Neodiprion lecontei: one gene and its partners. The protein of the gene in region 2 interacts with the protein of the main gene of each other region in a pairwise test. Links are inferred from orthologs where the notes say so. Each region holds a gene or a part of one and is shown on either strand. Other genes may lie near its edges. The genes, in order: myosin-VIIa, calmodulin and protein abnormal spindle.

Region 1 (9,654 bases), on a different chromosome or scaffold from region 2:
CTCCTGCTCGAGCTTGAATATGTGCTGAACAAAAAATTGCTGAAGGTTCTCGTTGGCGTAATTTATGCAGAATTGTTCAAAGCTGTTGTGATTAAAGTTTTCGAAGCCAAATATATCCAGCACTCCGATGGCGCTTCTCGCCATATTCTTCGGCCGGTATATCGCTTCGTTTATCTTCTTCACGATCAAAACGAACAGTCGGCCGTAAATGCCTTTTACAAAAGCATCGCGGATGTCGACTGACTGATCTCTCGATAACGTGGAGACCTGTTGATCAGAAAACTGTTGTCGAGGTACTTGGGATATCCACTCAGAAAATGTAGTTACAATAACAACAACAATAATAGTAATAACTACCACCCCCTCCCCCCAAAATACCCGATAGAGTATATTCCCATGAGCCGTTAGGCTTTTGCGGGTTAAAGGAAGGAATGGATTACTGAGCATCATTATGCGACTGCAGCCGCCGATCTCGTCTTCGTCTTAGGCCAAATTTGATTAATTATAGGTATAACGTACCACTGTTTCTCCATGAGCGAATATCGTACGCCTCGTCAGTGCAGCTATCAGGGGTTGAACAGGAACTCCTAGAAGGCTGGCGACTCGCTGCACATTGGTTTGCTCCGGTATTTCGGTTGCGTCAAGATTATCTACAAAAATGCAAAAAGTAACGTGCGTGAACAAGAATCCTATGCAAGTTTTGTTGACATAATACGGGTTATTTTTTTAAATATCTTTACGAACCTACGACAGTTGCTTTGTATTTGATGTTTCCGGTATGCAACAATGCGGCCAGGAGTTTGAGGATTTCCCATATTTCAGCGTCAGTGAACAGCAAGACTTTCATCGCCGATCTAATGTCTGCGAATTCTGCAGCATCATCTCGTCCCTCGCACGTGATGCTTCCACCCTTCCAAAGCCCAAAATTTTCAGATTATCATCAAGTAGGTAATGATTTGATTTCTATAAAAGTCTGCATGGCAATTGATTATACGCATTCGTTTCACGGTAAGAGAGGTAGATCATCAACGGCAATATGCAATATTTACCCCTGTCAAGTATTTGTATGTAGAAGCATCGTCCAGTTCTAACTTTGTCTTCTCTTCTCTGGAAAGCCCGGCGAGTATGCAGTAGAATATATGATAATTCCTTTCATCGGTGCTCTGCGATACGATGCGTGATTTCTCAAGGAGATACTGCTCTATCTTGGCTCCCTCGATCACCCCGAGCTCGTTGAAATGGATGTCAATGTATTTGCCAAATCTCGACGAATTGTCGTTTCTTACCGTTTTTGCGTTTCCGAATGCTAGAGACAGCGATTAAGGTTGATCGGGTAAGCGATTGCTTAGCAGAACAGTTTAAGCATGATAATATGTAAAGAAATAGCATATTCGGAATCTCCTTGCCTTCCAGAATGGGATTAGCCTCGAGTATCTGTTGCTCTATCCAAGAATGTTTGCCGCTAATAGCAGCGAGGTATTGAAGTATTAGCTTGGTGCTCTCAGTTTTTCCGGCCCCGCTCTCTCCGCTGGATGAAAAAAAAAAAAAGAAAAGGAATATCAAGGCCTGAGTAATTTTTCCCTAATTCAGCACGCCCGGGCTTCATGATCTCGCTTAACTGTAAGTTTTTGGAAGTACCTGATCACAATGCACTGGTCCTGCCCATATCGTTTCATGTGCGTATAGCTATTGTCTCCTATGGCGAATATGTGAGGCGGCAGTTCACCTATTTTTCGATCTTTGTAAAGTTTTATTTGTTCTGCGGTGTAGATCGGCAATATTTGATAGGGGTTCACTGCGACCAATATGGACCCAGTATAAGTCTATAAAAGAAAGTGAGGATCATTCGGGTGCAGTGAAACTATTAATTGAGCCCCACTGGTTACTCTCGAATTTGATACTCCACAGCGTTAGTTTATTATTTAGTCTATTATCAGCAACACAGCGGAGGGAGGGAATATATTTAAGCCCTGGTAAAGACTCGCTCCTAGTCCATAATCGTCTCGAGCATTGAGCAAAGATATGTGTTTGCTTTATGAAACGAGTGATAAAGTTATAAGTGAATTGCACCGTTATGTCTTACTCGGAGCATCGTCTTACGTGGAAACCTGCGGAATGTTTTATCTCACAGATGGGTCTAGACTAATGAAAACTGCTTACATATATGAGATTCTCGTTGTAGCGGATGAGAAGATTTCTCAGAATACCAGCTTCGTGAAGGTCTCCGAGGCTGATCATGTCTTCTACGCCCTGGACGGACGTAGCGTGCATCGCCTTTATCCTCCGCTCTGGGGTCAGCCATTGTTCCTACAACAAGGATAACTAACGAGTATGAATAACCGATCAACGATTACCACCTGCAATATTTCGGTGTTCTGCGAATACCTTATTGTCGTCGTCTTTGACCTGGATTCTTCTACCCTCGGCCGATACGACGCGAGCCCCGATCGCTACGTCGAACTCCCTTCCAGATACGGGCTCGATCCATATGTAATCTCCCTATAAAATTAAGAACTTTTAAGGTTTCGCGCGAGCGCCGATTGAAAAGGTAATCGGTCAATTGGTGTTAATTGATAATCAACGGAGCAGGCTTCAAGTAACTGATGTAAATCATATCTTTCTCCACAGTATCGTATCATACTAGTTATATCAATAGTGGCGTGTAAACAGATCTTGACAGCAGTCCGAGCAGCGAAAGATCCTCGTTAATTCCTCGGCCCATTTGCTCAGCCACCGGAACATCGGAAGAGCACTTCCGCGCTCGGAACTGCTGCGGAGGTCGCCATTGCGGCCCACGCCCGATCGGCATTCACCATTTACAAATTCGGCTGATCACTGTTTATTTTTATTTTTTTATTTCTTCTTTTCAATGGGCCAATAATCCACAGAAATCAATGTACACGTATAGCTGCATGATATAATGCATAAAACGGAGCGAATCAGATAATAAACAAATGGAGTGAATAATTTGTACACAACGTCGGGTCAACCTACCCGCGTGACGATGACCATCTCTCAAATCTTGGCCGCTGTCCCGCCACCTGAAACAATAATCTATAACGTTATTTCACGATGATTGGTACACGATTGTTTCCCTCATCATCTCCGAGCGCGTAAAAGTGCGTATACTACGTATTATAATAATACGCGCAGTAAAACGACATTTATGGCACAAGCGTAAGTATGTAACGCGACAAGGCTGTTTATCAGGCAGCCTTCGAGTATCATAAAAATCCATCATCATTACATAGATCCCGCATTCCCGCGGCATATCTTACAGCCCACAGCGACTTGTAACGGGCACGGGTTTAATTCAAGATGCGCGTGTACTGTAAGCCTGTAACTTCGACGGTGTCGAAGAGGATGAGGACGTCGATACACGCACGTATTGTACGTTGTACGCGTAACATGCATACGATGCCCGGAGTGCTCTATTCGGCCTCGTACGCAAAACAATCACCGGCCACGAGGTGCAACGTGTTTCAGTGTTGGGCGTCGGGGATGTAATTACCATAAGCAATTATCGCGCGAACCTGCACCGGTACTTACAACAGTAGGTTGCTGCTGTTGCTGCTGTTGCTGCAGAATACCTAGATCGAACCTAGATATTTTATTCATTTAACGTGCGCAAACGGGCCCCTTTCCGTTTCTCATACCGATGCTGTTCTTCGAGACCCGTCGCGCCGCGGCGAGACAGGGGAGTTGTTATCCTGGTCAATCACCGTTAGCGCTCACGGTATAAGAGCCAACTTTAAACCTGTTTGCGAAGTGGGTTAGATATTCTGCCTGTATACATTTATACACGTACAGTAAGTGTGTACACAGCCGCGCAACCCGGCTGGATAACACCATCGTCGTCGGTTATATCCGCTTACGCGTTTATACATATAAGACTCGATAGTCGATAATTCGCGTCAACTGTACCTATGCTGAAAAATGAAGCGCACATCCGATTCGCTGACGACGATGTTTACGTGTGTGCGTTATGTCTAGTGCTCCGGACTAAATTGCAGATCTTTTCTTTTGCTTACCCTCCTGCGGCTCTCTTCCTCAACCGCGGTTCATTTTCAATATAGCTAATTATCACCAATCTTCATGGTACGTGACTCTGCACGTCGAGAGAGGGATGGTGAGAGTTCGTTGTATTGTTTACACAACGCGTAGGTATATCCGAGTGCGTGCGGTCATATTTCTATGCACTTGTTTATCGGATATATTATATGTCTTGTCTGCATGTTGGCTGTATGTGCAGGAGGGTACTAATGAGACTGAAGTTAGTAACGTTAAGGCCACGAAACATTCAGGGAAACATGATGATTTTCGCTAGTTTATAGTGACTTTGAAATAGTTCAGTTTTCGAAATATGAATACGTTTTGCCTTATTATGATTTACTGCATTTCAGACATTTCTGCAACTGTGTAATAACGATTGTTTCGAAACGTAAATCATTACAATAACGTTACTAACTTCAGCCTGATATGTACTACGTAACGCCGCGCGCACGTGCGCGACCCGAGTTAAGCACGACTCGTAGATGTGAATGTATAATTCATACCTAGGATAGGTATGTACATGCATACATACACATCGAAACTTGGATTTCGAGAATATCAGGCATTCAAATCACATTCGGAGCTCAAAATAATGTAATTAAACATACAGCTAACAGGTCTCAAAGTGAATCGGGATGGTTGAAACGGTCAACCACTACATCGGGTGGCGCGTTTAGTTACTGTTATAAAAACATGGAAAATCTCAGTAATTGAAGCAATCAGAGGTTAACAAATACTCCAATAGATATCGAAGGATCGTATACTTGTATGTGCATTATAAGCACACGCGCAACTGTGCCAACATTGATCATATGACATAACGAGCTGATCTGACCGAATGCCGCGTTTCCTGGGTACCTTATAAGTCATACCTAATGCATAGTATACATGCTTACATCACAGTATACATGCGTACTGAAATTGCGGGATCGTGGCGACGCGATAATTTTACACGACGTTTAATTATTACTTTTCTCAGGTATGTATGACTCATACTCATAATTGTTGTACCAAAAAAATTTGCACGCAGCTATATATACACCGTTTAGTACTGTAGGGAGGAAGGAAAAAGGTGTCTACGGTAGAGAAACCGGAGTCTGAAAAAATTGTTCTCCGAGTGTACTTGGCGCGAGAGCTTACCGAGTCTCTCGATACGCCCGATCGGGAATCCCGTACAACAGCCAGGGTATTAAGCAGCAGCAGCAGCACAGCAGTCATTGACTGCAAAAATATATGGGGAATTCACGATGAAGGAAGGAACGGTCAGCGGTAACGGTAGGCCTTACAGAGTTCGATTCCTGCTAGACGCGGCGGAGCGTGAGAGAGATGAGAAATATAATATTTTCTATACACACGATCGTGTATCTAGGCGAAACTATTGAAAAAGCAATTGACCGAGCTTCAAAAATCGGGCGTATCAGTGTATAATCCCTAAATGAAATACAGATCGCCGTAGTAATTTTCCAGTGTCTCGTGCAGAGATCAAGGTCCCTGTCGCTTCCCACAATATTACGTGTATGTATTAACATCGATTTGTACGTAACAGATGCTTAGCTCACCTTGTTGAATACGCGTAAGTAATTGCGGGTGTATTAATCGGCTAAATCCCAAGACTCCATAAGGCGGCACACTGCAGAACACTGATCGGTACTCGGCGACCTTTCATTCCCAAAATATTCACCGTCTATTACAGGTGTGGAAGATCGAATCGTTAAAGTCGCGGCGATTTACGTAAAAGTAGAGCGCTAAGAAGGCGCGCGTCGCGTCTCGAGACCGAGGGTTCGCCGATAACAAGATAATTGTAATGAAACAAGGGTAAAGAAACGATCGAGAATAATATCCGAGCAGTTTTTAACGCCGAAGTCTACCTTTAACCACTTATACGGCTACAACGGGCCGTACGGGGTACGCGGTCACCGGCACATTAACACCACACTCGCTCGGGGAGGTTCGGTTTAGATCGGAAAGTGACTGTGGCTGTCGCCTGCCTTATGCCTACCTGTAGCCAGGTGGAAGTGGCGGCGTGCTGCTCGCTGTGCTAGGCGAGTAAGGCGAGGCGCGGCAAGGTAAATAGCTGACTGAATGTTGACTGAATGGAGAGCGCGAGTCACGGCGATTCGACGACCGCACCGCGTTACGGCAGGTGAGCGAGAACAGGGGCAATACTTCGAGGACGAGAGGCCCCACCTGACGTCCCGATTTGAACTCACCAGGGGAAGAAATCCGGAGAAGGAACGAGGATGCAACGACTACCTGCCTGACCTACAGACCGCCTCGCTCTCACAAGGCGGATTCCTGATGATGATGATGATGATAACTGATTCGAGGAGGAAGAAGAAACCGAAGCTCGATCGGGAGGCAGTGTTTAGATTACACGCGTTTCTTAATTCTTTCCATTCGTGCTATTTAGGCATCGCACTTATTCCCGTATGCGAGTGAGGAAAACTTTCTTCCTCAGCCTCTTGCGAGATGAAGACACTTCATTTGCGAATTGTGATGAAAGTAGATCTTAAGGAATCGGAGCTTAATGTTAGTCAAGACGATACCGATTCTTCAATAAACCCAAGTTTTAATCATTAAAATAAAGGGGAACCCCAGGTCTACTGATGTATCTACATTGTATGTGGGCATTCACATAATTGCGCATGATGAATCAATTCCACGCAGTCCGAAAACGTTGCGAGCAACATATCAAGATTAGAGCCGAAAAACGAAAGATTTCGTTGGCAATTCCACTGCTGTTGGACTCACGCTGTTTTTGATGTCTTTTTCTGATTCCTGACGGTCCAATTAGTGGAATAAGAGCACTGCAAAACGAATCTCAGACGAAAACTTTGCGAGCTCTGAAAATCGCACAAAAGCAAGGAAACCCTTTGGATTTATTCAGTTGAAATTTAGCCGATTTGAAGAAATGGTTAAATTAATTCTTTGTGCACTATATCGACGTAATTTTTCGAGAGGAATCGATTGCACACAGTTCGAATACGGTGCGAGCATCTGATCAAGAGTTCCAGCCGAAAAATTAAAGATTTGTAATCTTTCCATTGCTGGTCTGTTGCTCGCTTTGCTAACTTTTTGTGCTCCTGAGGGTCCAATTAGTCTACAAAGGGCCATACAAGACGATACTAGGACGAAAAAATGTTTTGCTCGAAAAATAAGACTGAATTTTTACTGAAAGTTTTGACAGTTTTGAAAAATGCTGGAATCAACTCTTTGACGCGCTATAAATCATACATAAATGGGGCAAATAATAATCGTAACAATTAAGTTAACAAATAATTCTTTACTGTTCAGTATCTAGTATACAATATAATACAATTTATTTTTCACCATCCTTGATTCATGTGGAAATTTGCTGAGGATAATTATATTGGTGTGATTAAAGAATCACGGGTAATTATCCTCTATCGTATGTCGATCAAAAATCGTTTTCTCCAAGATAAAACCCGCATTTTTGTGATCAATGGGAAATAAATCCTCTTTTGTGATGTGTCAATTTGGATCACCGATATTGAATATCCGGGCAGTGGAGTCATCCGAGGTGGTTAGCATTGTCTTTCCATCGCTATAAAACCGAATCGGTCAATTAATTTAGCTTTCGTTTACGACCGTATAAATCGTTGATTGATTCTTACCGAGAGATTACCAAATCGAGAATATCCGCGTGATGTCCCGTATAGGAGCGAAGCTCTTCACCAGATCTTGCGTCGAACGATCTCACCACTCCGTCAAGACCCGACGAATACAACCGTGTTGTGTTCAGGTGCCAAACCAGCTTGCTTATGCCACTGCTCTGCTGGATCTCGTGCCGAATCATCTGAGTTAAGAAAATCCCACATTTAGGCATAGCGAATGACAAATAATCTTGCGATTCCACCTTCACCATTGGGACCCACCTGTTTTGCGATGTCCCATATGAATATCTGTCCGTTTACTGTGCCTGAAACAGCAACTGGATACTCCGGATCTTTGCAAAATGACACCGCTTCCACCCAATTTCCTTCGTTTCCCTCAGCATCTTCGTCGCCACCAGCAGAGACGTTTGTTTTCAGGTCTTGAAGGACACGGGTGACCTGATATTTGTTATTTGAACAATCAACGGACCGAGTTTTTTAATAACTTTGTTTCGAGCCGAATGAAAAATTAAGAGCGTTCTTACCTTGCCAGACTGCGAAGTAGTGAGAATAGTTTTTCCATCCATCCCACCTGATATTAGCAGATTATTATCAGAGTTACAGTCGAGGGCGGTTATCGTAGAGCTGTGACCAAATTCAGAGGAAATTGTTGACAATACTGCTCCGGATTTCAGGTCGAATACTCTCAGTGTACCGTCTTCATAACCAACCGTGATCCGTTTGCCTGTTATTGTATTATAGAGATATAAGTAGGTAAATCTCGATGCGGTGATAAATATCTGATATCATCTTACCATCACGCATAATAACCCCTTGTTCAACCCGCTGACCGTGACTCTGAAATATTTTACATTCTCCACTAGGTATTTTCCACATGTATAAAACCCCACTTGATGCTCCAGCAAATAGAATGTTAGCCATCGGATGCCACCGCATCCACTACAAGATAAATGAAATATAAAGAAAACTTAACCATCCAATGATAATGGAGAAGTTAATTCTGAGATTGCTTGATAACCGGAAGGACCGTAAAATCGTATTTTGTGCTGCAATTCAATTGCAAGCATTTCCTATTACTTAATTTTTCAAATTTGTTCAATAAATTTCAATTCAGCAGCAATCCAATGTAAAATTTACCATTTATCAAGATGGAAAAAGTTAGGAATGTGATAAATAAGCCTACCGTCATATCGCCCATGTTGTAGTCCCAGATAAGAATTCTGTTGCTCATTTTCCACACCTGAATAATGCCATTCATATCTGCAGTTGCCAGATAAAACCCATCATGGTTGAACTCCGTAAAAGTGACACTATCCGAATGACCGGTGCAATTGAGTACAACTCGTCCCGAGGAAACCTCCCAGACATATGCTTTATCATCTTCCCCACCGGTCGCAGCTAGCGTTCCATCTTTATTCAAAGCTCCGCAGAATATAGACCCTGGACACCGGAGTGAAGGCTTGTGTAGACGATAATCAATGTTGTCAGAATTACGGGATCAACAAACCTTGCCAAATAGCATAAGGAGACTTACCTTCGTGGTTACGAAAAACATAGGCAGCGTCGTCCTTAATCGGTTGTTCCTCGTAGCTTTCGGCCTCTTCCTCGGAGTCTTCGGTTCTCTCATCTCGTTCGAGGGCTTCTATGATTTCGTCAGCATCTCCGACGTATACCAGCTCATCCTCGTCCATTTCTACGTCGACAGAAGGAGAAGACGGCGGCGTGTCCATCAGTGTCATATTGTTCGCCGTTCAAACAGTTATGAGGCCACGTGAGATTATGCTTTACTTCATCAGCACGCGTTTCTGGTGTCCTTTGTGGAGGTTAGAATACCACGCGACTCAACACGGGAAGATCAGTTTAGGTTAAGCATTACACATATACAGGGTGGTCGGTAAAATCACCCAGATGAATATCTCCGGAACGAAATGAGGTATAGTACATGAAAAAGTTTGATACAAAACTT
Region 2 (12,761 bases):
ATAAAAGTAAAAACGAATGAACTGCAACGAATGTCTGCAACGTGAGTTAGGCCAATGGTATCAAATAAAAGCTGATATAAGCAAAACGTGTCGAGGGTAGCTATCGAATATGTTACTTGATAATGCAAATCTGATTTATTTTAATTCACAAGGTGAACATAATGTCATGAGAAGAAAATATAAGTTGGTTGCAATAAAAATAAGTGCTTGCCTGCGTTTCGGTGAAATTTTTCCATGGTCCGGTTAGATATTCAGTTACAAACGGTTCCGACGGTCTGAATTCCTTCAAAAATCCAAACACGCACAGAAGTAACGATATTTTCTTCCAAGTCATTGTTATGCCTTGTTTTCTGTCATTTCAATTTTAAACGTAATTTTCTCCAGCCGTGACCGTCCGACGAGCCTGACCTTCACTTCACGCCTCGCGTCGTATGCGCTAGTACAAACGTGGCTGGCCCTTCGCGCATTCTTATACCATGTATACCTGTCACATCTCGAATCGCCACATCTGCACCAATGTTCGCCACAACGGTTGCTATTTAGAAGTAATAAAAGCATTTTCTGATAACAGCAAAATCATACGCACAGATAATTACAGAGATCGTGGTGGTCGAAAGAACTAAAATAATCGAAATACCGCGAGCACATCATCCTCCAAACTACGACCCCGGTTCGCCACCTGAGATATGCCATTTTGGTCCCGTTTAGTGGCGGTAATCTTATAGTTGCGTTCCGGAACTAGCTGGTAGTGCTAAAAACTCCCTACGACAGATGCAGAGAGTCACGAACTTGGCTGCGCAAAAGAGATAAATAAAATTGCTGACAGCATACTCGTCGGACAGAGAGAAACCTCATCGGAAGGCACCTTCCACTTTCCGTGATGGGTCTACGGCTGTCGTGTGTATTTGTCTAGACCATTTATTGTCGGTATGTCAATCAACTGTGGGTGCGTTCCGAAATTAGTTGGTAGCGCTAAAAACTCCCTAGGACAGAGGCAGACCTACTCACGAACTCGGCAACGCAAGAGATAAAAGATTGTCGACAGCATTGGGTGATATCGGAACGTATCGGAACGCAATGCGACAGATCACCTCACCTGGTGAATTTTTCTGGTAGACAAATTCCTGTGAGCTTGGTGCTTTTTCTCTTCCTCTAGAATTCTCTATCCGCGGTCTCGCTGTCTCTGTACAAACTTGCGATAGATGAATTTTCAAAGCACCAAAGCGTTTGATTTCAACAGTTTTTATACGGTCATATTTCACATTTACTTCACACCAAGTCCATCATATCATAGATAATGAGGATTTAGAATAACAAGAAAAATCCTTAAGTTGACGAAAATTTTGAAGAAATACAATTTTGAACATAAAAGCTGGGCTTACGTTCCGTATCATTGTGATAATTTTTGATGAAATCGACGAACCTGCGTCATTCTAGGCAGTTAAATCGTTATATACAATGCGTATGAAATCAAACTATTTAGGGGTTCCCTGGTTGATTTCGACGTATCGTATATATCTCCAAAGATCGAAGTCCACCCCTATTCCATATGCAAGTCTGAACAAAAACAGTCTATACATTTTCATTTGACGCAGAAATAAAGAAATGCCACGGATTCTTCGAAATCGCAATAACAGATTAGTACGTTATCTTTGCACATTCAAAAATTTTCAAGTTAGATTACGCAGGTACTAAGCTTGTTGAGATGCCGACTATTTTACGATTAACAGTGAAACATGATTAGCATTTTTTCTGCTTCGAAATAGCTATGATCAGCATTTAACTAATCAAAGGTAAAATAAAATCACTAGAAAAAAGTTGACTTACAAGCTTGTACCTATACAAGTCTTGTTGAATTCGGCTGGGAGGAAAAAAACGGAAAAAGTGCATACCGAATGCAGATTCCTTGAAAAAACGGGGCAACTGATAATAACGGTCAAGTGATATCAATAATGTCAGAAACGTCAATGAAACGAATAATAGATATATACCACTTGTTCATGTGTATGTTAGTCAATTAATAAGATCTTATAGGTAAAATTTTGAAAGTTTGTCTGAGTTTTTTCTGATATCAATAAATCGATTCATAGTCTGCTTTTGAACGATTGACTGCAATCTGTCGTAGATTGATAATTTGGACCACAGTTGTGGATTCACAGTTGGCACTTAGATATATAGGCCTCATGTGCACTTCTTAATGTGTTTTTACTTAATTAATTCATTTCTTGCCACTTTCAGGTACCAAAATGCGTGATCAATTAATCAGTTTTCTAACTATAGCTATTCGTGATTGCTCATGGATACATTTTTTTTTAACCTGACATATTTTTTGTGAAACCCATAGTCTATGTTATTCCCAAGAATGTAAGGAAGACGTGGGTTCAAATTCTCTCTGAGAACACAGCGGGTCCATCTGTTTCTAGTTTTTCACATAGAATGCCTTTTTTACAGTACATAATTCTGCTATAAATGCATCTAAACAATGGTTTGAATATACTAACAGTGGATGTTAATAAGTTTTTCTCACACGTACATTTTAAAGTATATCAATCTGCAATAATGGCATCAATGCTTCTTATTTGTAATAAAACCTGGACGCCATTCTAAATACTGTACAAATTATACTATACAGTGATACGCCTGGCGTCTGGATATACATTTTCATGACTCAGCAAGCCATGTCATAATTGATCAATGCGTGATGGAGATTGATTGAAACACAATACGGTTATTCGTCTATTATTTTAGATCTTTCTTCGTAAAGGATTATCAAGATAAAAAAAAAAAAAGTGGTAGCTACAGTTTTCAAAGGATGCAAGGAATTCCAAAAGGAAATGACAATTTTGTGACCTAAAAATGAGGATACATTTATTTTGTCTTTTATAATCAATGCAACCTAGGTCACCAAATACATTATTAAATAAAGACTGTGGAGGAATTTTAATTTAATATATAATATATATTACATGTATTATGACTGATCCGATGGTCTTATATCGGCGTTGGTTAAGTAACATTAAGACGTGTGATGGCTCCAGCCAACCAGTCTGTTTTGCACCATTAACCGTGCAATAGTCAAACTAGTGCCAGAAAGTGCACCGATCGATAGTTCGAAAAGTGGTGCTGATGTTGTGCAGTGCAGTCCTCATTTTGAGGAGAAGTGTGTCGTGTTCGTTTGTTTGTCTACAAACATGTCAAATGTTGGTCATGTCAGGTTTAATCGAGTGAGGGCGTTATTCATACAGTCCGGGATGAGAAGGAATGTTAACAGGGTCAGTCAGACACGATCCCTGTGTGTCCCCACTTCCTTTTACTTTACGTGGTGATCATTATGGTATTAAAAATTAAATAAATATAAATATATATATTTATTTATGTACATATGTATGCATATACACATATGCATATATAAATAATATATCTTTATATTTGTTTTTGTTTGTTTTGTTGTTTTTTTTTTTTTTTGAAAAAATCAAGCATTAATTAATATTTCGTTTGTTGGTTATCTTTTCTTGTTTTTGTTATGTTACGTTACGTTTTCTCACATATTAATGTATAAATTAAAAGTATAAACCAATACTATTTTAAATTACTATTAACCTATTGATGGGTTGATACATTCCTCTGTCACATTGAGCCGAGTATCATGCCACGAAGTATTATTTAACACGGACATTTTTTGTAATTTTTTTTTTTTACATATCAGAATGTGATTCCGTTATAGGAGTTATAATTTATAATACTACGATACATAAATTCCAGATAATGTTCAAATAATGTTCCTTTTTTCTTCTCTCTTTTTAACTTTTTTCCCATTAAACACGGACATGTAGAATTAAAACAAGATACGAAGGGTAGTTTCAGAGTTATTATTAATTCAAACACAATACTTGAATATATTTCTTAAAAAATTACACAAACTTTGAACAAAATTTGATGATTATCGCAAATGTTCTATAGTACTTTACTTATTACTTGTAAATTACATCAAACTTTATTCAAAGGTCTACTCCAACTTTTCATGATACTGTTAAATATTTCCAATTCACGATGTATTAAGACTGGAAAGCAGAAATGCAGTTTCAATATTTATACTTTAAGATTTTGTTGCCGACGATGAAGATGGTTGGTATTAATTATCTTTATTACTTATTATTATAGTATTATGTTAAGTGTTGATGATAGCTTTATATTCTGGTATTCACTTCATTATCAACACCACTCCTAGTTGTGAATTATTCCCAAACATGCGTTTGCATTCACTTTGATGTCATCATTGTGACGAATTCTGTAAAACATAAAAAAACAAAGAACAGAAATAAATACGTATATTTAATTACAAACTTTCGCATTATTTCACGCAAGTTAATTGAGTCATTAAACAATCAAAATGTAGATAAACTACAGGAAGTTGTCTATCTAAATTCTAGTGCAATATTAACACTCATAAATAATTATATTTGATCGTGCTTGAATGTTTGTAGAAGATATTTGACGAACATGTCAAGCAATTCCACGTGTAGTATTACACTTTCATTCACGAAATAATTGTGGACACAGCATATCAAAGGTTAGATAAATATTAGCAAAGCTACTCTTATAACGCATGTGGGTTCTGTGGTAGAAAAGAAGAACACTGAATGAATTACATTTGTCTCTGCCAGAACGGTCTTTTCAAATGTCTTATATCCAGACAAGTGGATCATTAAACATTAATGTCTGAACCATTTCAAAATTTGGACGAAAAGATAGATTATCTCATGTATTTTCTAAGTTCGGTAATTTTCACGACATAAACCTGAGGTGAAACCAAAAACAAGCGGAAAGAAAATAGTTTGAAGACTATTTACCTTCGTAATTGACTTGCCCGTCACCGTCGATGTCAGCTTCTCTTATCATCTCATCAACTTCTTCATCTGTTAACTTTTCACCAAGATTTGTCATCACATGTCTCAACTCGGCGGCTGAGATAAAACCGTTACCATCCTTATCGAATACCCTAAACGCCTCTCTGATCTCTTCCTCGCTGTCAGTGTCCTTCATCTTACGTGCCATCATCGTTAAGAATTCGGGGAAATCGATGGTTCCATTTCCTGAAATGATTTTCAAAGATGTAAAAAATAAAATAAGAATGAAGAATCTGGATTTTTATTGGACATGATATACACGGGGAATTATAAATGGAAATGAACAAAAAATCAATTCAATTAGCACTGAATAATACACACCATCAGCATCTACTTCATTGATCATGTCTTGCAATTCTGCTTCCGTTGGGTTTTGACCAAGTGATCGCATTACTGTACCCAATTCCTTGGTTGTTATCGTGCCATCGCCATCCTTGTCGAAGAGGGAAAACGCCTCTTTGAATTCTGCAATTTGCTCCTCTGTGAGTTGGTCAGCCTGTGTATAAAAGTTTTAATGTTTTTACATTCAATACATAGAGCCATGTCATAACATTTCTTTAAATTAAAGGGTGATTTAAGGGAATATATGATGCGGGAATACCTGACCATTTTAATGTGACCGTGACCTTTATCATTTCCAATTTCATTTTCCTGTTACTATGTTGTAGCTCGTATCATGGTCTTTGTAATAAAAAAAAAACCGTGTGCCCTTAATTGGTAACGGGCCTGTATTTAGTTTGGGAGATAAGAACAAATTCGAATAAAATAGAAAAAGGACTATAGTAGATCACAACAGGATTTGAACACAAACTGCAAAATTTCCATGTTGGAGATTTTTCTTCTGGCGACTTTTTTTTGCCCTTCCAACTTTTTGTTTGAAAGGGAACAAAATGAATCTGCTCATATCACCAAAATTAAATACATGCCCATCTTTCTTCAACACAGGCTGCAAAGTTAAGTCTCTCATGAAGAATTCACGGTGTAAATTTCAATAATATGAATTCCAAACTCACAATACTTTGGCCTTCAATTTTGCAAAATGTAAATCTATCACATCATTATTAGGTGAATGCAGAACTTGCAATAAAGAAAGAACCAATGGGAACGAATAGATCTCGATATTCCATAGAAAAAATGTCATTACTGAAATCATTTGTGAAACATCAAATGATTCTATGTTTGTTTGAAAAAAATGTCTGTTACAACTATTTAGATTTCCTAGTTCAAGTAGCATCTGCTCTGGTTCCGAGTCAGAGAGTTGATTATTCCAAAGTCCGGACATTAGTATCATTATGCTTCAAAAACTTAATCAGAGTCGTGATAAAATTGATTTATCAAAGAATTCTTTCAGTAAATGTCATTCGTTACAGATATTCGCTTTTGCAATGAGTTGCCATTAGAATCGTGATCTGATGCATGGAAATTGAGTCTTGGGATGTTTTGTCCTTACCACTAATCATTGCAATAAAATTTTATAGATATGAAATAACATTTATATGACCTCATAAATACAGGGCAATAATTGTGCTTTAAATACGGTACAAGTGTAAGTAAGAACTTATCAATATAATGCTGAAAAAAAAAAAAAAATAAAAACCGGGCATATGTTTATTACTACCTCAGTTGGACTCAGGTCTAAGAATATCACAATGTGCAAGAAGAAAATTAGAAGAATTCTGCATAAAATTTAATCCTACAATTTCTGAGTAAATGAAATGTATCTTCTGAGTCACTGTACACCACTAATGACGTTGCAGGCTATAAGTTTATAATAAATTCATGTGGGAGTTTTGATGCAGTTGTACATAAAAATCAAGAATTATACGTATTATACGTATGGACGAGAGTTCTCTACATTTATGTGAACTGTTTTAATATGCAAAATACTTCTTGACCACATCCGATATAAACTCAGTGACCAATAAATGACCATAACAATAACTTACAATTAGTTTCATTCATGCATATTGCAGTTTGCTAGATCAGCAGCATTAAAAATCGCTAAAATGAAAATGTCTAAGATAAATATCTTTGATCGCAGACACGTTTCAATAGTATTCCTGGTAATCACTGGTAGTATTACAACAGTCACGCCTCAAAGATAAAATAAATATGTCAGACTGTTATTTATTGATTAATCGCATTAGGCTCAACTGATTGAAGGATAGATTTTATAAATTATCAGATAAACCAAATAGTAGTCCCAAAAATTGCCAAGTGTCAGTGATAATGATTTAAACCAGATTTTGATAAGCAAATTTTTACACTATCCAGCAGCATGCAATAACCTGGTTAAATAAAATACTGCTACCAGTGAACAATTTTGTTTTTTGTTTTTTTTTTTCGACCTTTCACATTCAGCAATAAACACGCTTTCTATAGCAGTTGGTACAGCCTGTGCCAGAACCTAAGCAATCAATTAGATCATCGCTTTAGACGTATTTTATAATTCATTTTAATTAATAAGTATAAGTTAATATTAAAGTAAAGAAAGTTATTTTCACCACCAAGCAAGTAAAGCCCGAAAATTTATCTTCTTAATCTGATTTTAAGAAACATATGCGTCTATGTTATTTTCTTGTTAACGATTTTTAGTCTTATCTGTACTTTGCCCAATGTATTTTAAATGAAACTATCACATCAAGTGAAGGCAAAAAAAAAAAAAAATCAATAAACGCGTCGGAGAAAATCGGACAAAATCTTTGTACGAATACACATGTATAAATTATATTTATAGACGTACCATATCGCGATCTTGTTAAAACCTTTCGGCTTAGGGTATTCGGTGATAACGAAATGAAAAAAATAACCTCACTACTCTTCACAAATCGAAGGTTCGAACGGTTCTGCCGTTTGCGGCAAAACGCTGCAGGTGAACCGAACAACGTCGCACAGTGGCAGGTTCGCGAATTCTCGGGGTGGCGCCGGCCAACGGGTCGAGGGTTGGGAGGGGAGGGGTTAGAGGGGGTGGGGGAGGGGCAGGAAGGAGAAGAGGTGGCAGCCAGGGACCAGGAAGCAGCGAGAAGGGGGTTGGGGGGAGGGAGGAGAGGGACAGAAGCACGGCGGGACCGGAGGGAGAAAGAGAGACAGAAGAGGACATGACAGAGCTGTACTGAGCAACTACGAAAATCAATAGCGGGTGTATAAGGCCGCCATAAAGGCTGCCATACTATTTACCGGCCTTTATATGGAGCATCGTGCGCAAGCTTGTATTCATTTATTTGTTTATTTAATCGTTTACTCCGATGATCGTAGAATCCAGTGAACATGGAAATATGAATGATGTTCTATTTACAGGTATATTATGCACGAGTGAGCACGAATAGGTGGAAATTTTGTGACTAACATAATTTCCGCTTACACGTGGGTAACGTATGTGTATAAATATAGGCTTCTCGATAAATGATACGAAATGAGAAAACGGAATTCGAAGAAATTTAGGACGGTAGAGATCAGATTAATGAAACAGTGTTCCCGGTGGTAGATTGTTAGAACCATGATACAAGTATCTCACCGTAGAATTGCGTCGATCGTCTAGAGCGGTAATAATTGTTATGATGTAATATATTGATGGTTATACGACTGAAAATTATCGTTTGGGCATCGGAATACGTGCATGTTGTAAAGCAACGTAACAGAACGTCGAGCAGGTAAATGAAAAATGGAGAAAAAGAATAGCGGGATTTAAAATTGGCATGATTCTTGCGAGGTAGGCGGAATTTTTTCCGGCATTCACAATTGCCGATGACGAGAGCACCTCGAGTCGCGACCCGGTAAGAACTGTCAACTGGTGAACCTTTAACGGTACAACGCCTTCATCAACACCAGAGTCCGGTGACAAATTGATTCTTTACAGTGTCTAGTAGATTGATCAGATCTACCGATATTTTGATAGACCACAAGTTACGTCGGATTCATTTCAATTAGAATGAGATTAATTATTAACGATAATTCTGTAGCTATATATTTATGTGTATATACATATGTGTATATATAAAATCGAGGCAAGCCTAGCGTACGATATAACGGAATAAAACGCAGTACATAATTCGGCTAGAATGTCGAATAGAGACAGATCTCGAGCAGCGAGCAATCGGCCGGATTCCATTACTATGTTGCGGGTAAAATCTGTGAAAGTTGTCGAAATTTCGATATTCCAATGATTGCGAATAGGTAAATGATATTGAATACGATTAATCGACAACTCACCATTGCAGATTCTCCTAGATATTACCGGCACACTACACAAACTCCACTACGAACCAGCGCCGCTGACACGAAATACACTTCGGACAATAATGGAAGAGAGGGTCTCTCAGTCGTCCAGGCAATACTGTGTTACTACGCCACGATAGCGATGTCGCACATAACTGTGAATAAAACTTGCGCGGTGTTTGAAAAAGTTTTTATAAATTAAATGAAAAAACTATAAAACACAGGAATAATAATTTATCATACATTTATTCACCGATGAACCATATATATCGAGGTCTGAGTTCGGATTAAGTTTCAGCCGCGCATGTGAGTAGGCTTTATAAGCGCTGGGTGCGGTCTTGTTTACAAGACTTCCTTGTCGACTCGTCTAACGTCCAAACTAAGCTCAATTCTGATTGGCTGCTACGCACCTGCAATGCGTCAACCACTAGAGCCTGTACAGTTTGCGAACGGGTCAGAGTGGTGCTGGCAGGGCTAGCTGGCTCTGGGGTTGCAGCGTGCGCTGCCGGGCTGCCTGCGTCCCTACATTTTCATCCCTCCTATCCTCCTGCGTCCTTCGTTCCTTCATTCCTCTCGGCCCTTTTCATCCTTCTGTTATATTTACGTACCCCGCCGGCATCTCGCCACCACCAACGCTGCCGCATATTATGCATTCAAATGTATACGATGTATAATTATTGTAAAATCCTCGCAGCTGAGAATTTTTAAACAATTTCTAAGTTGAATTTCATTCTTATTAGCCTGCAAGCCGTCTCGACAATAGAAAGTAAAGTTTTTCAAATGAGAATTAAAATTTTTCTTCATTATTTTGCATTCCATATTATCGCTTTATTTTTACCTGTTACAGTATGCGAATTTTTAGGTGCGAAAATATTTAGGTTGAAAGCGAGGAAATTTTGTTGCATAAAACGACGTAAATTCCTAATATGCAATATAATGGTTTGGGGTGAAATTTTCTTTGCGTCTATCGAGACGCGTTCAAACCGCATACCCAGTGCGCATTGGCTATGCGCAGGCGGGCGCGCAATGCGACACAGGACATAATCTCGTTAGAGATTCCTGAGAAGTGAGTTAAATCTTAAAACGATTATATTTATCAATGGTCTAGCGCACGAACATGCAGGCTTGACGATATTTATTATTGACTCTGAAAGCATTCTATAATTTAAACTATTATCTTGTCGTATGAAACGAAATAATCGCGAAATAGACGAGAAATCATATAACTGTAAAGAGCACATCGTCTGTAGTTGAGACCTTTTTATCTGTGCACTCGCAGTTTGGATATCTAGAATCGGAACGAATATATTATGTATGTAACTGAAAAAATTATTTGGTGCAAAATAAACATTGATATATCATTATTTTGAAACGTATCTAGGCTTGGAAAATACGTCAAAAATGCCAATGCATGATAATGTCTATTTTAATTATGAACACATTTTTCCTTGATCAATGTGCAGTACAAAACTAGAACTCACACGTTATATGCTTATACGCTCATATAATTCAGTATACATTTCCGATTACACGTGATAAAGTAATAATGATCCAGCATAATGACTGTGCTCAGAAGAAAACACGTCTGAGTGTATAAAAATTAGCGAACACCCACCCATTAGCCGTTTCATCTCATGTCTAATTTTCGTTATGAAAAGTCTATAATAATTATATACACGTGATAACGTTGACGTGTTGACTACCCACATGCACACGGTGATTATCTGCCGTGAATCATATGGGTATATACGTGTTTCTTTTCTGAAAGCCTGTTATGTAATTTTGAGTCACACTGTAGTCACACCGTTAAATGGAAGAGGTAACAAGGCGGGGACTACCTGCTGATAGAGATAAGCATGGGAGAAATTCGTTAGGGCGGATGACTAGTGTGGATTTTTATCAGATAACAGATAATCAGCGGAGATGCTGTCATTGCTATAATTGTGTAGTATTTCAAACACGATTATACACCGGTTGAAATATTGGGTTTTTAAGAAAAAGTGTAGGAATAATAGACGCCTGTTACTCATTTTATCTGTTTATAGTATAAAACATATAGCATGACGTAAAGCTTTCGTGTGTAAAATCCGTCAGCGTACCTAAAAGTAATCAATGTTTAGAGCCTAAACGGGGCATCGTGAATAACGACATAATCATAAATATCAATAATTTCATTCCACGCGATTTTCGATTCAGTTACACGTATATACCAGCTACCTGGCCTGATTATTGTAACTGTGTCATCGCAGGTATCAGCTGACGTCGCCCATCAACGCAGCGCGCACTGTACAGAGAACACGTACCTGTGATGTGTCTCTGAAATATTCGCGCGTTTATACACTTCGTGTAGAAAAACCTGTGAAAATCTACCTGGGATCGCATCGGATAATATTATCCAGCCTTATAAATTATTTACCTTATTCCTGTAAAGTAAGCCGCGTGCTTGTGCTCGGGTATGTATAACACGTACACGCCGCTACCAAAGCCGAAGGTAAAGATCAATGCTGGCCGACACATACATGGTAAAAATAAAAAAAGTAAATTCAGCGATAATGCTTGTTCCTAGGGGATAAGTGAACCAGATCTTCAACTGAATATTAACAACAACTGCAGGTCGGGACTATAAATATATGCTTCCGATCTGTACGTCCTTGAAAAAGTCAGGCTCGCTGCAGGTGATCATAAATACTGCCAGTTCGTTGAAAAGTTCGCGGAATAATTAATAATAATTGGTAGCCGGCTGTTGGGGTAGTTAATCAGTTAAATAAGGGTATGCGGCAACTCTTGACAGATAATGATTACCGGCACACAACGGTGCGAATATAAATTCCTACTCTTATTGCAAGCTCAAGCTTTGGAGGGATACGCGAAGGGCGTGCTACACAAATAAATGCTCGTTATTATACTGCGACTCCAAGGTCATCTGAACCGGCAACGTTACCGCAATTAATCTGCTTGATTAACTAAACGGCACAAACTTTTGTAACGTATTATATTTTTGAGCAGCCTTATCTCTGTGATCTGGAATACTTCTTTATTGTTGTACAGCGAGATTATAACCATAATCGCGTTCTTACATAAATACGTAGTACATGTACATACGAGTATATGTACGATAGCTATATATGTATAGCATGCACTCAAACGACAATACGTATCAGGAGAAATAATAAATCCTCGTTGTACCTTCAATAATTAAACTAATTCAAAAACGTACACTTTGAACTTGACGTCGTATGAATAAATAATCAACCCTGGCCCCACCAGCGAGATCCAGAATAAGTCGAGAGTCGTTAGGGAAGTAAACCGACTTTCCAAATCAATTTCAATGAGTAAAACAAACAGAATTGGAGTGTTGACTATTTTCATAATAAATCGTGGGGATTGCGGGAATCTTCAGATTCGCTAATTCGTCAAAATTTTTATTATTAACTTATCGTTATGAACCTGTACTTCGTTTTGTCAACTGGAATAGACGATTACCATAGAGCTTCCTCATCGTGCAATCATCCTTATTTTCCAAAAGCCTGTCCAAGCCTACCCTGTATAGAGTACTTCGGGCCATTCGAAAACTGTTAAGCGGGCAAAGCCCATGCTACACAAATATACATTATACATGCGTATGTACTCCTTAGCATA
Region 3 (9,785 bases), on a different chromosome or scaffold from region 2:
CTGTGTGGTTCCATTAATTTTTTGGCTCTCCACTTCTGTTGAATAAAAGTAACATTGATTTTCAAAGTTAAAAAGTTTTTTCTAACCGGTCCACCAAGTTTACGTGCTTTGTATTTGTGCTGAAGAAGAATTGTAGTAGATTTCAATAGATTGTAATAAGATTTTGCTTGTTTTGTTGCAATACAAGCTTTCCACCAGAATTGTATTTTAATAACAGATTGCTTTTTCGCCTGGTATTTTCTTTGTGCAACGACCATACGATATCTTTTTTGAATCATTATTGCTGCATTTCGTTTGTAAAGGAATTCTTGCCGAATCTGTCTTTTCAATAGCGTGGCTCTCCATTTACGTTGTATAATAACAGTGCTTTGTTTCAATTTGTTAAAATTGTCCGCAGTTTGAGACGCAGCTTTATTAGCTCTAAAACGACTCTGCAGGGAAACAGTTGCTGCTTTTAGAGAAAGAAAATAATAGCGTACCTGAAACCCAACCCTCCAGTTTCTCCAATATGATTGAATAACAATTGCAGCTTTTCGTTTCAAGATGTATGATTGTTGTACAGATTTTGCAGTTCTGATTGCACGCCATCTTCTTTGCACAGTGACAACAGATTTTTTCAGTGATACGAATGCATTTCTTTGGAGCCGACAAAGTTGAATGGCACGCCATCTTTGTTGTAAAGTTATCACAGCATTCATTTCCTTTTTCAACAAAGCTTGTAGCTTTCCCTTGACCGAACATTGCAGCCACCATTTTTCAATTAATAGTACAGCACCTTTCATCAGTAAGAAATTTCGTCGATCCTTCCTGTAAGCAAGTTCACGTATCCACCAGCCCTGAATAGTTTTAATTGAGATTACTTTCTTTTTATATTTTTCCCGTTCAATTTTCATAAGACGATTGCTTCGCCACTTGCGCTGTACCAATAGCGTAGCCTTTTTAATGGCTTGGTAATGGTTGTAGGCAGTTTTCTCAATTAATTTTATTTTCCACCAACGCTGGATTTTTGTAACAGCATCCTTAAGAATTAAATAAGTAGACACTTGGAGCCTCATCAACTGTGTAGCACGCCAGTGCTGCTGAATAATACGACAAGCAGTTTGTTTTTGTTTAAAAGCCACTACAAAGAGATTAGTGGCTCGGTAATTCCTCCAGAATTTTTGAAGTTTTACAGCAGACAATTTCATTTGTTTAAATTGTTTTTTTTGTTTCCACATTTGCACTGTAGCAATCCATTTCAATTGTATTACTGTAGCAGCTTTATTTTGCAATGACAGGATAAGCACTCTTTTTTCCCTGAGATATTTTAGTTGTCTTTTTGCAAGGTATGATCTCCAAGCTCTCTGAATTACCCAAGCTGCATTATGCTTTCTCTTTAATAAAAAATTTTTTATTCGTACCCACCAAAGAGTAGCCCGCCACCATTTCTGGATTATTACTGCAGCTTTATTAAAGTGTGGGGCTTGGAACTTGTATATAATCTGCCACAGTAACGAGAGCGTCTTTTCTCTGTGACCGTCTGCAATACATTTGGCTGTAATATTACCACAAATGTTATAGCCGGAACTGGTAAGTGCTTTCAAGGCAACATCAACATTGTAGACTTTTTGTAGTCTTGAGATAGCAGGTACTCTGCAAACAGCGGTCAAATTTCGTTTTCCTGTTATGAGCTCCATGATTCTGCACAGCCTTACACCATCTCGTAAATCGTGGGAAAGATTATCAACTGCGTAACTGTACTCATCCAACTCTGTTTGCTTGTGGACTAAAATATACCCATAGGGTTTCAAGACACGTGTAACATCACCAACACCACTGAGCAGCTCTTGAGAAAATCGTAGCAAAATCTTTTTGCTTTCTTTGTAAGCTGACTGTTTATGGAAGAGGCATGGATCATGCCCGATCAATTTATGTGTCTTCGCATAGTCAAGAAAATAAATTATGAAAAGAAACTTTTTGAGCATGAACTTATTCATGACAGTGAAAAATGTGGGAAGGCGCAGATTTAGGACTGTCGGATGCGAGTGAGTCTTGACGATATGTGGATCAGCAAAAAACCTTGTTAAAAGAAACTTACTCAAGCGAATAATATCATTATTTGAATTAAGTGGGATCGTTTCGCCATATATTGCTTCCAAACTAATTCGTAACCACAATGGGTTATAGCACAGAAGTAGTTCCAAAATCAATTTCTGCAACCCTGGGAAATTGTACAAAAAATTAAATCATTTCTTGGAAAAATTCAGTTGCTTTTTTCCATCATAATATGCTTTACCAATGTCTTTATGAAGATCGCGATCTTGTCTAATCACTAGAATTCCTTTTTCAACACATACAGTAACTTTTGATAATACGGAAACAACTTCATTGCTGCAAAGCAATGTGCAAGCAGCTCTCCGTAGTGTATTCAGTCTTTGATTAGTGTGATACCTGAAAAATTAGTGTGGGTCTTTAGCAAATTTGAAAATTGAACGTTTAAATAAAAGTATGTGTATAAAAAAAAAATACCTGGCAGATAGAGCTTCCTTAGTTTCTGCAAGTGAAACATCTTCCTTTGATCGGCATGTTTGCCATATTTTTGCAACATCAACTAATGGAGTATCGACATTAGATGTCAGGTGTTCAGGAGGAGTCAGTAGCATGTTTAACCACTTTTTAAATTCCAATTCCTGGTTTTTCACCCATTTATCATCATAATACAGAGTGCTGTAAACAATTATACCATTTTGAGAAATGCACGGAACTCAAACCAAATTTGATTTATCCTCCTTTAATTATCTGAAGAAATTACACTGCAAGAAACGGATCTTCTGTCGTAGTTGCAGCAAATGGGTCTGGATTGCAGAGTGTAGTGAAAAAGTCATCTGGATCATGTAGCTTCATGCTAAGTTCAGGTTCGAAGACTCTGTTCAATCCACTATTGATTCTCTTTCTAGACACTCCAGCAAGTGACAGCTTGGTGATTCGCACCCCAGGAATAGAGACTTTACCACTACCTGAAAAAATAAAAATTAAAAATTAGAGACTAACAGACAAATTATTTCTAGACTATAGTGAGCTGGAAATTACTTGGCTAAGCTTACATTTCAAAGATGTATTCATAGCAACTTTCTTTTTGAGATGTTGTATTTCTTGGATACTTTTTTCTTTGCTAATTTTAGAAGATTTCCTTGAAGGTATCTTTCTAATCGGTGAGGTTTTTTTGACAAGGTTATTAGTAGGCGGTGAAAAATCGAATCTGCAATTAGCCCCTGTGGTAGATATATTTGGAGTTAGGTAGTCGTTACTCGATTTAACATAAGTTTTGTTTGTTGTTGAAGTCAAATTGAGACTTTCCTCCCGAATTGATTCCAAACTTGTTGGCCCACTTTTTGCTATTAAAACAGAATATTGGTTCACTGGTTTTGCCCATAAATCAGCTCCCAAAACTTCCTGAACAGCACCAATATCGGACTGTGTGGTAGACAGATTAAAACTTTCCCATTTAGCTCTTAAATTGGAACTAAAGTCTTGTTTTTCATTGCTCCAAATCGGCGAAGAAGACGTTGCATATTTTGACATTCCAGGCTCTACAACTGGCATAACAGGAGACAGTGTTGCAAAAGTTCTAGAAAGCCTAGTAGGTACTAGGAGACTGCTCGCGCTTTGTTCAGGGAACTTATCCAATGGTACATGTAAGGATTCTTCAATATCCAAACCCTTAGCAATTTCAAAAGTGTCGTTCTTATTGTTTGCTGCAGTAATGAATTGAAAATTTTCAGCAGTTTTGGTAAGAGGTGTATTCGATGTAAAATTTATGTCATTAAGCAGCAATGAAAAATCTGAATTAGGATTGGATCTAGCCTCCTGTGGGGATAAAGAATCCTCAAAGCCATCTCGATCATCTTCGTTCATATGAGTACTGTGTTTAAAAAGAGGTGCAGTTACATAAGTCTGGCGTCGCAGTTCATGCATTTCAGAATTAGGTGATGATTCTGAGTTCTCTAAGGCAGTATTTTCCGATTTATTTGTATCGTTTTTGAACCACGGATGTGGAGTTAAAGCAAATACATCCGATTCTATCAGCATAGAAAAATCACGAGGTTTTGCAGTTGATACATTCAATGAATAATCTTGTCGATGGCCTAGAATCCCTGCGGAACTTTTCTTTGGAGTTTGCCAATCAGTGACTGGATAAGTAGAAATATTTTCCTTTCCTTGATATCTTGAAATGCCGGAAGACTTGTGCCTATTGCAGGGAGAATTGATATTGTTGGATACATTTTCAGACATGTTGAACACTTTTTTCAACTCTGATTTTTTTGTAGGGTGTGCATTCTGAGTAAGAATCTTTTTTCGATGATCCAATATATGTTGCTTATTTTCTGTGTGTTTTTCAACAACTCCATGTTTTTTCGAACATGTTGTAGAAGTTGTCAATGCAATGTCATACTTTATGCGACGACTGTCAGTTAATTGTATTATGTCTCGGAATGTACCATGTTCCCTAGCAGTCCAGCTTATGATCAATTCTACGTCCTGGCCAGCCTCAACTCGCAATTTCGACAAACTGAGCACGACGGATCGTTCCGATGGTGGTTTTTTTGTAACATGGATCTAGAATGATGCAAAAATTTTAACTTTCTATTAACAAAATGCTTGAATTAATAATTTATCTGGTATATCAAGAATAATTTCAAATGAGATTGCCGTTTAAGATACAATCAAAGCTCTCCGGTATTGTAAATTTTTCTGAAAAGCTTCAAGCTATTAATTACATTCAATAGACGATTGCTGGGGTTACGTAGGCTCAAGTAGGAATGCGCTGTTGTATTCAGAGCAGTTTCGATGTGGATACGAGTTTGGGGTTGAAAAGGAGCCAACAACAAGTTGATCTTTGTGTCTGGTTCTGTGTGCATGACAGCACCCTTCTCTTTGGGTGTTATGTTAACCTATGTACAAGTAACAAACAATTATTAGGTATTTAGGAATAATAAAAATGGCAGTTGTGTCAGCATAATTGGTTGTTGAATTCAAAGAACGATTCAGAAATAACTAAAGTAATGAAGTTGTGTCCTGCAATAAATTATGAAAAACGAGATGCTGGGCATGTAATTCATAACAACGTTAGAACGCTACAAATTTCCACGTAATACTGTAATTTGAATTGCTTAAAAAATTACCTCAAAATACATGGTTGAGAGTGAAGTGAGCTCAAGGTAATGTTGGCTCACGAAAGTAAGAAATACATCTGTAATGTTGTCGTTATGAATACACTTTGCCAAAAACACCCACTATTCAACGTTCAACGGTTTAGCCTCGCAAGATACAAGTTTGAATTTCAAGCTTGACAACTGTAAACGTACTCTAGGCGTTACGAAATGCGATGAATATAGGCTGCGTTGTATCAATGACCTCACGTCCGAGTTCACATCAAATCGAAAGTGCCAGAATTCATCTTAGGTATCCTTTCACATAGCAATCGCATATTCGATGGTTTCCTACCAATCATGTAATGGTGAGGAACGTTTTGTTGTTGTTTACATTTTTTTCTGTTGTCAGGCAAAACAATCAAATTTATTGTAATCTTGTTAATCGAAACGATTTTTGGTTACGAATCAAAATTGTCCCTCAATATGGTTCTACTCGGCGAAATATTTCCGAATTTTACAGCAAACTCTGATATCGGCCAGATTAAATTTCACGAATGGATTGGAGACTCGTAAGATTCATAAATCTCTTTCGTATAACCTAATAAATCTTACCGGCAGGGCTGAGTTCAGAAACCTTACCCGAGTGAACTCGGATATCATACTGTCTCTGTCTGACACATGAGATTAAACGAAGACACAACGATACTCGAGTCACTCGAGTAAGGTTTCTGAACTCAGCCCAGTCGTGTTGACATGATACTATTCTCTTTAAGATGTACTTCAAAGCATTTTTTTTCTCACCTCGCGGTTCTCCAAAAAGATATTCGAAATCAATCTGTTTTGTTTCTCATTTGGCAATCAGTAATATCCTTTGCTATGTATTCAAATTATTTTAATATATTGCATCTCGTAAATGATTACAAACGATTGATGTTTTTTTTTCTTGTTTAATATTAATCAGCAATTCTTGTTCTTAGCTGGGCAATTCTCTTTTCTCATCCCAACGATTTTACCCCAGTCTGTACAACAGAATTGGCAAGAGTAGCAAAGTTGATCCCAGAATTTGAGAAGCGAAGTGTCAAAGTTATTGCCTTGTCTTGTAATTCTGTTAAATCACACATTCAATGGATCAAGGTGCGAAAAGCTGATAACTTTCTAAAGGAACATGACTGAAGATCTATGTAATCAATAATTCCATGCCAAATAAAATGGTTATAATTCATTTTCAGGATATTAAAGCCTATGGTGAAATTACAGAGGCGAACTTTCCATATCCTATAATTGAAGATGAAAGTCGCACAATTGTGACAGCTTTAGGAATGCTCGATCCAGATGAAGTTGACAGCACTGGCTTGCCCGTTTCAGCTAGATCAGTTTTCATCATAGACCCTAAGAAGAAAATGAGGCTCTCAATCCTTTATCCAGCTACAACAGGAAGGAATTTCGAGTATACATCATGCCTATCTTTGTCTGAAGGAGGAAAGTAATCTTATGTTAATGTGTCATTTTTTTTTACAGTGAAATCTTGAGAGTTATTGATTCTTTACAGTTGACGGACAAACACAAGGTAGCAACACCTGTAGATTGGAAGGTAATTGAAATGAAGAGTAGATTGTGCATCGAGGAGGCAAAGTAGATCTTTTTACGCTAAGTGTAAGTTTGTAACAAGTCATAGGTGAGTGCATGCACGAGCCAGACAAATACTGTAATACACGTGGCGAAAAAGACTTTACCTCCATGGTGCTCACGATACTTTATGTAACAAAAGTGTGGTTGCAAGTGTGGCGGCGTTGTTTTTATAACGGAGTACAAAAAAGAATACTTTTAGTACTAACACATAAGTGTATTTTTTTTTGTTCTCTAGATACTTTTTTCTTCACTGTCACACAACAATTACATTATGTACAGTACACAAGCAAAAGACTTGCAAACCATACTAGTTACATCAAAAATTGAATTATCTCAAAATTTGTTACGTGCCAGCCAATAAATTTGACAAATTGGCCTTGGATGGTTTCCAAAAATTTTACAAATTTTCTAAATACCATTCACGAATCACAACTTTTTTAGAACGGAGATGATGTTATGATACAACCTACCGTCAATGACAAAGATGCTAAGTCTCTATTTGGGGATGACATTAAAGTTATAAGTCTACCTTCTGGTAAACCATATCTTCGTAGCATTCAACAGCCTATAGACTCTTAACTTTCTCCATGTACGTAATTTTTTATATGGAACAATAAGAACCAAATATTCAAGTATCAATACTATGTACATTCTAAAAAATGAGAGTAATTTTTTGTGGCAAGTGCCTTAGTTGCCTGATTTCTCATACGAACCATAAAATCTTCTTATGTATGTACAACATGAATAAATTTGTCTGCCAGATAAATTGCAAACAACGAAAGAAGCCGTTTATTATTATTTCACCTAACGTATAATTAAAAGTACACTGCTTTATATACACTTTTCCAAGTACACGTGTTGCTTACAATACCAATCGGATTCCTTAGTATTTACATGATTTTTTTAAATTATTCCTAGTTTACTTTAACTACCTTCATGAGTAAGATTATTATGCGTATTATTTTATAAGTATGTATATCAGTGATAGCAATAATCAATAGCATGTATATAAAACAGTCCCTGGTCAAAACCAATAAGATCAAAAAAGGTAATAAATTTAACGAAAAAGGGAAAAATTTTTTCAACTCGATACTACCTATGTTATCATGTAATTGAATGTTAATTACCACACAAACTAGGTATTACCTCGCAAAATACTGTCACATTTTTCTTATGTGTGTTTGCTTATCACACGTTCACTTGTAATAATTATTATACCTATAATTGTCAGCGTATTTATATTTTATTCGTATGTATGTACCTCGTGTCCAGCTCTCACGATAAATTACTATCAGTTTTATCATTAGTTTTTATCAGTAATATTAATAGTATCATTAACTTTATTATCATATATAATAAACTCGCTACAATCATCGTAGTCCATTTTAATACAATTATAACGATCACCGCTACGTAAGATCAGTCGTCGTTCAATGTACTCCATTAACGTCTTATTTCAACCTATTTATCCGCATATTCGATGATAAAATACATTCATTCATTTACTCTGTGACACCGTGACTTTCTCGTTGTTCGGCAAGCTGTTGTTCACCTTCCAACCGAGCCTGCCTCTCAGCCGCAGCTCTCGCCTGACGACCAGCACTAGATCGAAGATTCTTGCGTTCCGGAGGAGGATCATTACTTAATCGCTTGACATTCCGAGTTTTCTTTCCTTTGCCTTTTACATCGTCCTCGCTGCTTTCGGTGCAACTCGGTTTACTTTCGGTTTTTGAGGTGGTGGGCACTGGATTACCTTCTACCTGAGGAGGTTCTTCGGGTTCTTTAACGTTGCTCGCGTTTGCAGTTGGCAGAGACGGAGTCGTTTCTTCTTCAGTTGATTGCCTAGAAACTGTTGTTGGCCGTAAGAGCGTCTCTACATCAAGAGGCTCACTGGTAACAACAGCTTTCACATTGTCAGGTTCGGTTACCTTGACCTTCTTCACAATAGGTTCTAGAGTTACTTCCAATGAAGGTGGTGGATCGTAAGTTTGATCCGCACTACGACCACGCTTTGGTGGTCGTTGAAAATCCTCCAAGTTCCTAGTCAGCAGTTCTGCGCTTGTTCTGCTGAGCTGTTCCAGAGCTTCCTTCATCTCTTGTTCCTTAGATTTCCGTTCCAGCCTTGCTGACAAGTCAGCAATTTGGCTGAGCTCGATTATTTCTTTCTTGTCAGGCTCTGTACGCTTTTTGTCATCACTGTGAAGAGCCATTTCAGCATATTGTTGCAGACTCAAACCCGGATCTGTAACATATCGCGATTTCTTTTCGCTGTCTTTTCGCTTCATGGTATCTGCTATAGAATCCCTTTGGCGGGAAGTGTTTGACGTAGATGTAGTCTTGCGTGACGACGATGTGGATGTTGGTGGAGTGAGAAGTCCACATTGAGCGAGACTTTCATAGGCAGATGATACTCCACCAGGCTGCATTGAAAATGGATTGAGACCACCGAGACCGAGCGGGGTATATAAAAGACTAGGATTGGGAAAGAAGAATGGGAAAGGGGTTGTTGTAGAGAGGGATGACGATGTTGAGGTAGATGGCGCGGATGATTTACTTGTGGGGATGTCCATCTTGCTTCTTGATTTGCCTGATCCACCAACACTGTTAGAGTTTGAATTCTTTCCGCCGCTAGACGAATTCGCAGTATTCGTATCTGCAGTGCTCGTAGCCGTTGCACCTAAAGCTGCCTCCATACCAGCTAATGAAGGTAAACCCAGCCCTGCCAGGTTCGCAAATAAGGAATTGGTTAAGCTCATATTTCCAAGGTTACCAAGGTTCCCAAGTCCTCCTAGAGCTCCTAAGTTGGGCAGCCCCCCAAATGGCATTAGAAGCGGATTATTTTTGGGATCAAAGTTGCCGAGAGATAAGCCTGATAGTAGTGAATTGTTCAGATTTCCCAACGATGGAAAACTCAAACTAGACGCCATTGATGTAGCAGCTAAATTAGCTTGACTGACGGAAACTTGCCCTGTTGGGCTTGGCATCATTGGTGGCCTGCCCGGACTTTTTCCTTTGTTGCTGCTT

Evidence for each region.
Region 1: the proteins of calmodulin (region 2) and myosin-VIIa interact in binary tests that used the Drosophila melanogaster proteins (3 or more experiments, as listed by UniProt). The link is inferred for Neodiprion lecontei from reciprocal best matches to the Drosophila melanogaster genes Cam and ck.
Region 3: the proteins of calmodulin (region 2) and protein abnormal spindle interact in a two-hybrid assay, tested with the Drosophila melanogaster proteins (2 studies listed by BioGRID). The link is inferred for Neodiprion lecontei from reciprocal best matches to the Drosophila melanogaster genes Cam and asp.

What each region holds. Positions count from the first base shown.
Region 1 is NC_060264.1:23,437,439-23,447,092, forward strand, and holds the start of myosin-VIIa, read right to left. Parts: upstream 6,148-9,654; 5' UTR 6,053-6,147; intron 6,034-6,052; exon of another isoform or gene 5,613-6,033; intron 3,055-5,612; exon of another isoform or gene 3,042-3,054; 5' UTR 3,013-3,041; coding exon 2,995-3,012; intron 2,500-2,994; coding exon 2,386-2,499; intron 2,308-2,385; coding exon 2,161-2,307; intron 1,824-2,160; coding exon 1,639-1,823; intron 1,529-1,638; coding exon 1,407-1,528; intron 1,307-1,406; coding exon 1,050-1,306; intron 911-1,049; coding exon 745-910; intron 651-744; coding exon 520-650; intron 283-519; coding exon 1-282. Other genes in the region: angio-associated migratory cell protein, read right to left, coding at 7,546-7,618, 7,689-7,870, 7,950-8,126, 8,213-8,412, 8,483-8,627, 8,872-9,128, 9,223-9,427. UniProt on the Drosophila melanogaster protein: Myosins are actin-based motor molecules with ATPase activity. Unconventional myosins serve in intracellular movements: can function in cells as a single-molecule cargo transporter.
Region 2 is NC_060263.1:23,723,124-23,735,884, forward strand, and holds calmodulin, read right to left. Parts: upstream 9,418-12,761; 5' UTR 9,120-9,417; coding exon 9,117-9,119; intron 5,404-9,116; coding exon 5,229-5,403; intron 5,094-5,228; coding exon 4,851-5,093; intron 4,289-4,850; coding exon 4,260-4,288; 3' UTR 3,619-4,259; downstream 1-3,618. Other genes in the region: thiamine transporter 2, read right to left, coding at 212-334. UniProt on the Drosophila melanogaster protein: Calmodulin mediates the control of a large number of enzymes, ion channels and other proteins by Ca(2+). Among the enzymes to be stimulated by the calmodulin-Ca(2+) complex are a number of protein kinases and phosphatases.
Region 3 is NC_060261.1:34,027,761-34,037,545, reverse strand, and holds the start of protein abnormal spindle, read right to left. Parts: upstream 5,351-9,785; 5' UTR 5,175-5,350; coding exon 5,163-5,174; intron 4,932-5,162; coding exon 4,758-4,931; intron 4,597-4,757; coding exon 3,084-4,596; intron 2,997-3,083; coding exon 2,792-2,996; intron 2,707-2,791; coding exon 2,509-2,706; intron 2,431-2,508; coding exon 2,276-2,430; intron 2,201-2,275; coding exon 1-2,200. Other genes in the region: peroxiredoxin-6, read left to right, coding at 5,616-5,701, 6,110-6,266, 6,362-6,579, 6,651-6,723, 7,203-7,340; chromodomain-helicase-DNA-binding protein 7, read right to left, coding at 8,264-9,785. UniProt on the Drosophila melanogaster protein: Required to maintain the structure of the centrosomal microtubule organizing center (MTOC) during mitosis. May have a preferential role in regulating neurogenesis. Required for germ cell mitosis and oocyte differentiation.